Linked DNA regions of Cricetulus griseus. The protein of the gene in region 2 purifies or fractionates together with the protein of the main gene of each other region. This does not show direct contact. Links are inferred from orthologs where the notes say so. Each region holds a gene or a part of one and is shown on either strand. Other genes may lie near its edges. The genes, in order: Nsf, Stx12 and Gosr1.

The links.
Region 1: the proteins of Stx12 (region 2) and Nsf purify together in Homo sapiens (co-immunoprecipitation; 4 studies listed by BioGRID and IntAct, with this or other methods). This does not show direct contact. The link is inferred for Cricetulus griseus from reciprocal best matches to the Homo sapiens genes STX12 and NSF.
Region 3: the proteins of Stx12 (region 2) and Gosr1 purify together in Homo sapiens (affinity purification with mass spectrometry; 3 studies listed by BioGRID and IntAct, counting the BioPlex papers as one, with this or other methods). This does not show direct contact. The link is inferred for Cricetulus griseus from reciprocal best matches to the Homo sapiens genes STX12 and GOSR1.

What each region holds. Positions count from the first base shown.
Region 1 is NC_048600.1:116,869,039-116,872,689, forward strand, and holds part of Nsf (vesicle-fusing ATPase), read right to left. Parts: intron 3,279-3,651; coding exon 3,144-3,278; intron 2,073-3,143; coding exon 1,959-2,072; intron 1-1,958.
Region 2 is NC_048595.1:20,401,500-20,405,150, reverse strand, and holds part of Stx12 (syntaxin-12), read right to left. Parts: intron 601-3,651; coding exon 501-600; intron 1-500. UniProt on the Homo sapiens protein: SNARE promoting fusion of transport vesicles with target membranes. Together with SNARE STX6, promotes movement of vesicles from endosomes to the cell membrane, and may therefore function in the endocytic recycling pathway.
Region 3 is NC_048600.1:90,189,328-90,192,978, forward strand, and holds part of Gosr1 (Golgi SNAP receptor complex member 1), read right to left. Parts: intron 2,502-3,651; coding exon 2,410-2,501; intron 1,146-2,409; coding exon 1,071-1,145; intron 1-1,070. UniProt on the Homo sapiens protein: Involved in transport from the ER to the Golgi apparatus as well as in intra-Golgi transport. It belongs to a super-family of proteins called t-SNAREs or soluble NSF (N-ethylmaleimide-sensitive factor) attachment protein receptor.

The DNA.
Region 1 (3,651 bases), on a different chromosome or scaffold from region 2:
CTAACAAAAGAACCATTTTCTCTCTTTGGGACTAGAATTACACATGAATCAATTGTCAAAGTTCTTTCTAAAAAATGGAACTGGCTGGAGCTCGCCGTAGTCAGTACATGCAAGTCTTCGCCCATTAACTATATTTAATATGTGTGAGGGACGACTTACTGACTTGCCTGTAGCTATGGAATTAAAAGTCAAGAGAAAGGGAGGAAAAAAGTAATCTAGATAAATGACTTTATTCCCTCAGGTGACATCCAGTCAGAGCAGATCCTCAGCACTGAGCAAGTTTTAACAAAATCGGGTACTGCGAGCAGCAAAAGCATGACTTCTTCCATTCTGCTGAACTACACGCCTCTCCACTCAGGCTCGGCTCCTGAGGCGGATCTAAAGAGAAGTCACTCAGCTGCACGGAATCCATTTGACGTGAAGGGGTTCAAACTCCAGGCCTATGGAGTGTCAGTCGCTGGAGATTAGGCCAAACGCCCCACTCTCACTTTCTACCCCACACACATAAGAGGTATTAACTTGATCACTGAGCTGCAGGCATCAAAGGAGGAGGAAGAGGGGGTGGGGAGAAAAACTTGCATAGTTTCTTCTATGCAATTATTTTAAAAGATTGTCCCGAAACTGAAAAGAGAAGGGTAGAGCTGACTTTCTGACAGATTTATCTTTTTTCAGGGACAGAGCCAATGCACCTGTATGTACGCATTTACCAGGAGTAAGCCTGAGCACCGCGCTCAGTCGACAGTTCTAATTTACTGCCCATAATGCAAAATACATAAATCGACTTAAAAACAGTTGCTGGAAGCTCGGGAAACTTTTGGTTTCTAAAAACCACAAAAATTTAATTTTAAATTAAGTTTATCAGAGAGAATTAAAACAATTCTCTCCATACTTCTTATTTATTAGTCCTAGAGCATCCTTCAGCTGTAAATGTGAAGCGAGGAACCCCCGCTGTTCACACTGGGAAGGACAGGGCTGCCCAGTGACACACAATGCTTAGGATAACTCCAACCTTTTTACTCAAGTCTGGGGATTGATCACTCACGCATTCATTCATTCATTCATTCACGTACCCATTCATTCATTAGAGGGAGATTTATTGAGCACTCTAGTTACATTCGGAGCTGGCCCTGGGGCCATGCACAGTGGGTGGCAGCCCGGGTGTGACACACAGACCTTAGTCTGCACACATGTGTGATGTACATGAGTGTGCACATGTACACGCATATGGAGGTAAGGAGTTCCAGAAGAAGGGAAGGAGTTGCCTTAGATACAAGGAAGTTCCAAAGCAGTCTCATCTCCCTGTGGGGATGACCATAGTGGCAGGTTTGGGCTGAGTTGTCTATGGGAATCTGGGTGCTTTAACCCTACAGTAGTCTGCATGAAACTTAGGGAGCTGGGCATGGTGGTGCACGCCTTTAATCCCAGACTAGGGAGGCAGAGGCAGGAGGATCTCTGAGTTTGAGGCCAGCCCATCTACACAGAAAGCTCCAGGACAGCCAGGACTACACAGTTTCAAAAAAACAAGAAAACAAAACAAAACAAAACAACAACAAAAAAAGAAAAGAAAAGAAAAGAAAAGACATATCTAGGAGTTCAGTCAGGGGACACACACAGAAGCCATGTCTAACCTGTACAGGTCACTGCGTCTGCCCTTACACGTCTCCAGGTCTGTGCAGGCATTGACTGGCCCTGACGTAGGGCACCACAGTAGAGAGTGTGTGACCTGGGCTAATTCACTGACAACCTGTGGACGTGGCACTCATATTTTCTAGATTGCTCTTTTGAAGTCTCTTCTAATCTTTAGACTTAATAACTCTCCACATCAAGACTAAAAGTCACACTGTGCTCTTCTCATCTGTTTCTGAAGATTAAGGGTGGCACCAGTGTCCCTGGGCCTTGGGAGAGGAAGGAAGGCCCTGCTGGTGGTTCCTGTGACTCACACAGAGGAGTTGCCTTACCTGCAGGGACATCTCAATCAACATTAGTAACTTCTTGATTCCTATCCAGACCTTCTTCCCTTTGACTTGCTGAGCAATTGTGGTGCGTTCCTTATCTTTGAAGTTGCCCAGAAGCTACAAAAGCAATAAACAACAATAAAGACACTTTTACAGTTCACATACCAACACATTCACCTTTAAGTGAAGAGTGGGAGGAGCTACCTGACTGGGTTGAACTGACTTCCCTAGTCATTTGTGACCACACAGGGCAAGGTCTTATTCCAGAGCCCAGACTCTCCTCAAACTCATGGAAATTCTTCTGCCTTAGCTTCCCTGTTGCTGAGATTACCTTGTCTGGAAGAGACGTGTCTTAAGCTTTTTTTTTTCTAGAGACCTCCAGTAAACTTAGACACATATTTGCTGGGGGAAAACAGCTCCAATCCATAATAAATATAAGTTAAATGTGTCAAAATAGACTAACTTTTTCTCTTACCCATCCCAGCTATAAAAGGCTGCTCAAACAAGTGACCCAGAAATACTTGTCATATGGACTTCTGCTCTGCTGGGAGCACACAGCCACTCCTAGGTACTCTGGGGAGCACAGCAACTCTTACATGCTGGGACCTTAAGAAGCCTCCCTGACTCTCCTCCACCGAACAACTTACATCATATTTTCCAGCAGATCTCATCTAGTCACTTGTGGACATTAATATTAATCAACACTTACTGAAAGACTCAGTTTTGAAATTAAAGGCTTCCAAGACTAAGGAGACATTTCTATGCAATAAAGTTGGGAAGTCTGGGTAGCTGTTTTGTAGTTCCAAAGCTTTAATCATTGTTCTGGTTTATTAAATGCAAAGAAAATGTGTTGTCAGTCATGATGAAGAAACAGTGCTGACTCCCCACACTGCACCGGTCCTGTCCCTGTCCCCGCTGTGTCATCTGCAAGCACTGAATTCTGGGAAGAGAGTGACTGACCCCTGCAGTCTGTGCTGCCCACACCCAGGAATGAGAAGTTTATCTGCTTTCCTTTGTGTCCTGATCTTCCTCTAGCTTCTGAAAAGCCTTGAAGGTAACACCCCAGAGTCCCGCATTCTAGTTTGATGTGCCACTAAATGCCAGTTGCTATGGCTGAGGACCCTTCGGCATTATCTCAGGCCTCAACTCCTTTCTGATAAACAGATTCTAACAGCGACTCATCTTTACCTCCAAAGCTTCCAGCAGCTGCTCTCCTGTGGCAATGTTGGGCACGTGGATGGTGGTGCTGAAGGCATTCAGCATCTCCATTTCCTGAAGGACATCTTTGCGGCTGGTGGTCCCGATGATGAGAAGCTTGCGGCCCTGGTTACCGAGAGAAAGATGTGTTTCAGTGCACCAAAAAAGACTAATGAGGAGACTGGAGGTAGCTTGAATTAAATGAGCAGAATCCACTTATTTGTGTATGTAAATGAGTATGCAAAACACACATAAAACCCCAGGATTTTCCAAATAAAACTAAACAAGGCATAGATGCCATAACTCAGAAGCAGCAACAATGAAGCTGGTCCTTCCTACTGATGCCAATAGACAAGGGACCAGTAAATCAAGAAATATTAAACCAAAGACACCAAAGTGAACACAACAGTGTTTCAGCATGGTGCAGTGTGATGGGAAGTAGGGTTTTTCTTTAGACAGAGTCTCACTATGTAGCTGTGGCTGGCCTGGAACTATGTGG
Region 2 (3,651 bases):
TACATTGGGTTGTCCTATTAGCACATCTACGGGAGACTGCCTTAACTGATTAGTGTAGGAGGACCCAACCCACCGTAGGCAGCATCACTTCCTAGGCAGGAGATCGTGAACTGTGGGAGGGTGGAGAAGCAGAGCTGGGCACACATGTGGAAAAGAACAAGCAAGCACTCATTTCTCTCTCCTTCGACTGCGGATGAGATGTGACCAGTGCCTTCAAGTTCTGCTACCTTGATTTTCCCACAATAGACTGTAACCTGGAATTGTGAACTAAAAAAAAACCAACAAAACAAAACAAACAAAAAACCAAACCTTTTCCTTTAGGTTGCTTTTTGTTGTAGTAGTTTATCACAACAGAACTGAAACTAAAGCACGTGGTAAGGAAATTATAGTTCAAAGAAATCTATCAAGACCAGAGCCCTCCTAGAGCTTTTGTTCCACATCCCACTACTCTATCAGAATAAAGTCCTTTTCTATTAATAAACAAAACAGAAGATACCTACCTGCTCTGATGCAGACAAGGGTAGGGGCAAAGACCCTAATTCCTTTAGCAACTCATTTGTCTCCTTGGCGAGCTGATTTGTGGAGTGCTGTAACTGTTGCCTAAGAGAGAAGACAAGTGTCAGGATGCCATGGCTTCTCGAGAGCTCTCACACTATTACTTCACGCTCGGGGACTCCCAGCGCAAGGAAGGAAGGGAGGGCCATTCAAACAGGCGCTTCAATGCCTGTGCTCACAAACCCTCATTACTGAAGCAGTTCCACTGAGCAGAAAGATGCTCAATGACACCTGCTGAAGGAAGCACAGGCCAGGAATTTCAGCTGTTTGGGAAGAAAAGCATGTCGGCATTCTGATAGAAACACAGGAGTAATTACTACCTACATCCAGTCCTAATGGCTTTAATACACTGAACTCACTTAAACGTCTCACCACTCCCCAGGAGCTCTGCATGGTCAGTTCCTACCATAGTCCACTGACTAGGGTGGTTACATGAAACAGCTTCCTATATACCTAGAAAAAAAACTCCAAAGATCTATTCCTAATCTCTTGTCCAAAAGTGGGTTCTTTCTGGGGCTGGAGAGATGGCTCAGAGATTTAAAGCACTGACTGCTCTTCCAGAGGTCCTGAGTTCAATTCCCAGAAACCACATAGTGGTTCACAACCATCTGTTACGAGATATGGTGCCCTCTTCTGGCCAACAGGCAGACATGCAGGCAGAAGATTGTATACATAATAAATAAATCTTTAAAAAAAAAAAAAGTGAGCCGGGCATTGGTGGTGCACGCTTTTAATCCCAGCACTCGGGAGGCAGAGGCAGGCAGATCTCTGTGAGTTCGAGGCCAGCCTGGTTTCCAGAGCGAGTGCCAGGATAGGCTCCAAAGCTACACAGAGAAACCCTGTCTCAAAAAACCAAAATAAATAAATAAATAAAGTGGATTTTATGCCTGATAGCTTTTCCCTCTGCTGTTTAGAACACTTACCTCTTGTGCCAGATACTGGGCTCAATATCTAACACCAAAAAAAAAAAAAAAAAAAAATCACAATAAAAAAATACACATAAAGAAGCTCGATGCTGGGTACAGTGGCCTTCACCACTAGTCCCAGCTCCTCTGAGGCTGGTATAGGAGCAGCATTTGAATCCAGCAGTTTGCAACATACTAGGATAGAAGGAAGGAAGGAGAGAGAAGCAAATTCAAGAGGGAAGAACATAAAATATAAGTCATGCTATGGAGCCAGGCGGTGGTGGTGCACGTCTTTGATAACCAGCAATTGGGAAACAGAGGCAGGCAGATCTTTGTGAGTTCGAGGCCAGCCTGGTCTACAGAGCAAGTTGCAGGACAGGCTCCAAAATTACAGAGAAACCCTAAGAAAAAAAAAAAGTGATACTTTAGAAATAATAAATAAATAAAAAGTTCTTCCCATCATGGTTTCCTCTAATCTCTGGCCATTTCTACAAAGATTTTAAGGGGTGACAGAGAAGTCATAGGCTATGGTCTGAATTCATGTTGAAATACTAGCCCCCAAGTGATGTTATTAGGAGGTAGTAGAAAGTGATTAGCATGTGTGGGCCTTTTGTGAAAGCATTAATTCCCCTTACGAGGCACCAGAGAACTAACTACTTACCTCTTCCACCAAGAGAGGATACAATAAGAAAGCATCAACTAGCTGGGCCTTGGTGGCGCTCACTTTAATCCCAGCACTCAGGAGGCAGAGGCAGGAGGATCTCTGTGAGTTCAAGGCCAGCCTGGTCTACAGAGTTCCAGGCCAGGCTCCAAAGCCACAGAGAAACCCTGTCTCAAAACCAGTCTCCCCTCCCCCCAAAAGAAAGCATCAGCTGCCTAGCATAAGGACATACTCATTTAATCCCAGCACTAAGGTAACTGAGGCAGATGGATCTGCAGGATAGTAAGACCATTCCAAAAGGAAAACAAAAACCAAATGTTATCTATGAAAAAGAGGGCCCTCATTAGACACTGTATATGCCAGAGCCTTGATCAACCACCCCTCAGCCTTGAGAACTATAAGAAATAAATTTTGCTTGCTAATGAACTATCTAGTCTATGGTCTATTACTGCAGCAGCCTTAATGGCTGGGATACCACATCGTTTTTTTCACTTTAAGTAGACAGCTAGGATTAGAAAACATGAGAGACAGCAGAGGAAGCCAGACCATCCCAGAAACACTAGCATATGCAGACAGGTCATCTCTCCCTGAATTTGCTCCCTGTGACAGCAGTCACTCTCTCACTTCACAGCGTCTAAGAGTGGAAACGAGTAATGTAGCTCAGTTGACTTTAAAGATAGAGAACCTGATGGTGGCACACACCTTTAATCCCAGCACTAGGGAGAGGCAGGCAGATCTCTGTGAGTTTGAGGACAGCCTGAGACCTTGTCTTGGGAAAAAAATAAATAAACATATGTACATATATACACACACACACATATCAAACTTTAAAAAATTACTTTTGTTTATTATCTGTGTGTGCATTTGTGTGTGTGTATGCTTGTGGGCACAGGGGTGCCATGATGCATGTGAAATATGCTGACATTAGAAATAACTTTCCAGAGTTAGATTTTTCCTTCTACTATATAAGTTACAAAAATCAAACTCAGATCCCTGGCTTGATGGCAAGCACTTTTCTTTACTTGCTGAACCATCCTGCTGGCCCCAGAGAATAAAATTTTTACTTTATTATTTTACGTATATGGGTGATTTGCCTGCATGCATGCCTGTGCACTACATGTGAGCAATGCCCACAGAGGCCAGAAATGAGAGTTGGATACCATGAAAATGAAGCTATAGACAGTTGTGAATCACCATCTCAGTGCTGGGAACTGAACCCATGTCTTCACCACTGAACCATCTCTCCAGTGATCAAGAATAGAACTTTACAAGCAAAAATAAAGTCAAGAAAAATGTGACTGTGCTGGAGAGATGGTTCAGAGGTTAAGAGCACTGACTGCTCTTCCAGAGGTCCTGAGTTCAATTCCCAGCAACCACATGATGGCTCACAACCATCCATTATGAGATCTGGTGTCCTCTTCTGGTGTGCAGATATACATGGAAGCAGAATGTTGTATACGTAATAAATAAGATCTTTAAAAAAAACAAAAACAAAAACAAAAAATCAGTTCTCCCACTGGACCATTTATT
Region 3 (3,651 bases), on a different chromosome or scaffold from region 2:
CACTTGCCTAGCATGACTTCAATCCTCAACACCAAGTACAAGACTTGGTAACACTATGTGTGTGTACATGTACATGCATTTACACATATGTGCTGAGATACACTCTTACTCTGTTGCCCAGACTGGTCTTGAACTGTTGGGACAAAGCAACCATTCTGACTTTCTTTTCTAAGTAGCTGGGATTGAAGACATGTACCACCACACCCTGCTCTCTATATTTTTTTCATTTTTATGTGTATGGGTGTATGTGTGGCTGGGCCTGTGTTGTCCAGAAGAAGACATTGGATTCCCTGGGACTGCAGTTACAGACAGTTGTGAGCCACTATGTAGATAGATGCTGGGAATTAAGCCCAGGTTCTTTGTAAGAGCAGCTGGTATTCTTAACTACTGAGCTATTGCTCCAGCCTCTTGTGTCTTGATTTTAACAGTTTATATTTAAAGTGGTAGCCTTTACAGGGAAACAAATTCAACAGTACCTTAAGCTTATCAGACATAACCAATTAATGACAGTCAGTAGCAAACTAATCCTAACATTGACTATTATGGATATTCAAGGGCTGACAAGCTGAGCTCAGAGACAACTATTCTGATCCTCAAGTTCTACTACAAAATACAAGGAAAAAAATCATGGTAAAAAATAGATGGCACAAGAGTAGTATGTGGGGACTTGTTTTAAAATGCATGTATATGCCACCAATCATTTCTGCTGAGATCTTGGGAAGCAAATTTTTTTGTTTTGTTTTTTCCATTTGATTTTTGGTCTTAATAACTTTTATAAATCTTCTTCAATAAATAAGTGGTAAGAGACCATTCAAGCATAAATTATCAGCATTATTATTACGGATCCCATTAATAACTTGCAGTAAGGATAACAGCCACATAGCAGTAGGCAGGCAGAGAGACAACAGGCAAAGAACAGAGTAAAATTCTCAAAGGGGATCTTTTAATTATGGCTGATGAGCTGCCATCCATTTCCACTGAACCCACTTGGAGCAGCGATAAATTCTCACCCACAAAGGCCTTACTATAAATAAATGTCTTTACAAGCATGGAAATCAGGTAGTACTCACTTTCGAAGGTGGTCATGTTCTTTCAAAAACAGTTCAGTTCTCCTGTTGTTTACTCCAGACCCGCTTTTATATGACCTAGAACAACATTAGGAAAAGGCAAGAACATTTAGCAGATACTGCACCATCAGGTTAAGGGACTAACCCTAGTGATAGCAGAAGAGACCAGTAAACTATTGGAACATAATGCATTTCATTTCCCTTGAAAAATACTATCACAGACATAAAACACAAATGTTCCTCCAGTTTAGATTTAGGGGTTTTCCGTTTTTCACCGAACCAACCCAATCTTCTTATGAGGGGACCTAACCTTTCCTTTGTGTATTGTCTTCTGCATCATTTTCTCCAACAGAAGCAAAACTTAAGACTAACTAGCACATGGCACACGGGGCAAGAAAGCTACTGAAACCATTTTATACTTCACCGTAGTGTCAGCCACTGGCCAGCCAAAGCCTGAGGAACACTGAAACCCAACTGTTCAATCTCGGCATACTTCAGGATTCCATGTTCATTGCCAAAACAATAAAGTTAGCAAAAATGACATTTACTTCTATCAATATTACCATTTCCCTGCTTTCCATTAGTAATAAGAATCAGGAACACTTTCTTTGTCACTTTTTTTTTCTTCTTCCTCCTCTTCCTCCTCCGCTTCCTCCTCCTTCTCCTCCTCCTCCTTCTTTTTGAGGCAGAGTCTCCATGTAGCCCTAGCTATCCTGGAATTCACTCTATAGAACAGGCTGTCTTTGAACTTATAGAGATGTGCCTGCCTCTGCCTCCTGAGTGCTGAGATTAAGTTAGGCCACCACAACTGGCCTTTAAGAACAATTTTTTAAAAATTCCTGAACTGTACGAATGCCTACAAAAAGGATCATGTGAAGGAACAGAAGAAAAGAGCAAATCTTATGGACGAAGATCACTGTAAAATGCTGAAAGTCCTTAATTTCATATAAGGTTTCGATTTTGTATTAAACCTGGAAACTCCTGCCCACATGCAAATGTTTCAGAATTTCAGGGATGTTGATAGCTATCAGAATAAATAAGTTCCAGGGCAACAGAGAGGAGCAAATGATGGGGAAATAGACAGTTACTGGCCATCATGCCATTCTTAGTGTGAGCAGGAAGGGATCATTCAAGGTGGACTTAAGAGCAAGGTTGGCAAGGGAAGACTGGGAGAGGGCAAAGTAGATTCAGCTAGTACTATAACAAGGCACAAAGGACAATGGAATGGAAATCAAAAACCCCAAAATCTAAATTCTGGTTTTGCTACTCAATTTGCAATTAACCACAGATAGAGCTTAAATCCACACAAACATTTTATACAGTAACATGAAAGGTAACTTACTCAATATCTTTTCGTACTGATCCCATGAGATTTTCCCTTTCCCGTATTGCCATAAAGTTTGCTTTGGTTTTATGGAATTCATGTGTATAATCCTGAAATAAATCGACATCCAGTTTCAACACAAACTATTAATGTTCTTTTATTCTTCTAAAGTAGTAGACTATGTTCATCAGGTTACACATTTCAAAACACTAAGCATTCTACCACGTAGTACCGTATCATGACTTCAAATAGTCTAGGGTAAAAGAGGGGAGAGATTTTTCTACTCAGTGGTGTACTTAAAAAGGCATATGGCTTATTTTTATCACACCCTTGCCCCCATTCCCACCTTCCCCTCAGTGTTGGGATCCAGCCCAGGACTTTACAAATGCAAAACACATGCTCCACCACTGAGCTACACCCTCAGTTTGTTTTCAATTAAGTTTATAGTTTCTGCCCATTTTCCTTTTGTTTTTCTTATTTGTATTACTTCTGTGCATAGTAAACAAATGAGCCATTTTTTTTTTTTGTAGTTTCTGACATCAGATCTTCCTTAGCTCTTTACTACTCAGAAATTATAAATTTCATCTAGGCTCTATTCAGGACTTGATGCTTTTCTTTCCTCTCCTCCTTTCTTATGCTTTTTCTACATTTAAATCTTTGTTGGGGGGGGGAGGAAGAAGAAGAGAGAGGAAGGGAGAGAGATATCTACCAGTAAAGTACTATCTGATCCCAGTTAGGCTGTAAAAAGATGGGTGTTGATAGTGTACCCCTGCAATCTCAGCAGTGAGAAGGCAGAGAAGAAAGGAGCCCTTGGGCTCAATGGCTGGTCATCCTAGCTAAATTGGAAAGATCCAGGTTCTAGTGAGACCCCTCCTCAAAAACCACTATACCACTGAGTAGAAAAATCTCTCCCCTCTTTTACCCTAGACTTCTGGCACGCTTCGCACGTGCACGCTCACGCGCGTACACACCCCCCCACATGCACACAAGCACACAAGCACACACACACACACACACACACACACACACACACACACACACACACACACGCACGCACACAAAACTATCTTTAAAGAATTTTTACAATTTGGGCTGGAGAGATGGCTCAGAGGTTAAGAGCACTGACTGCTCTTCCAGAAGTCCTGAGTTCAATTCCCAGAAACCACATGGTGGCTCACAACCATCAATAATGGGATCTGGTGCCCTCTTATGGTGTATAAGCATACATGCAAGCAGAATACTACATAAGTAATAAATAAA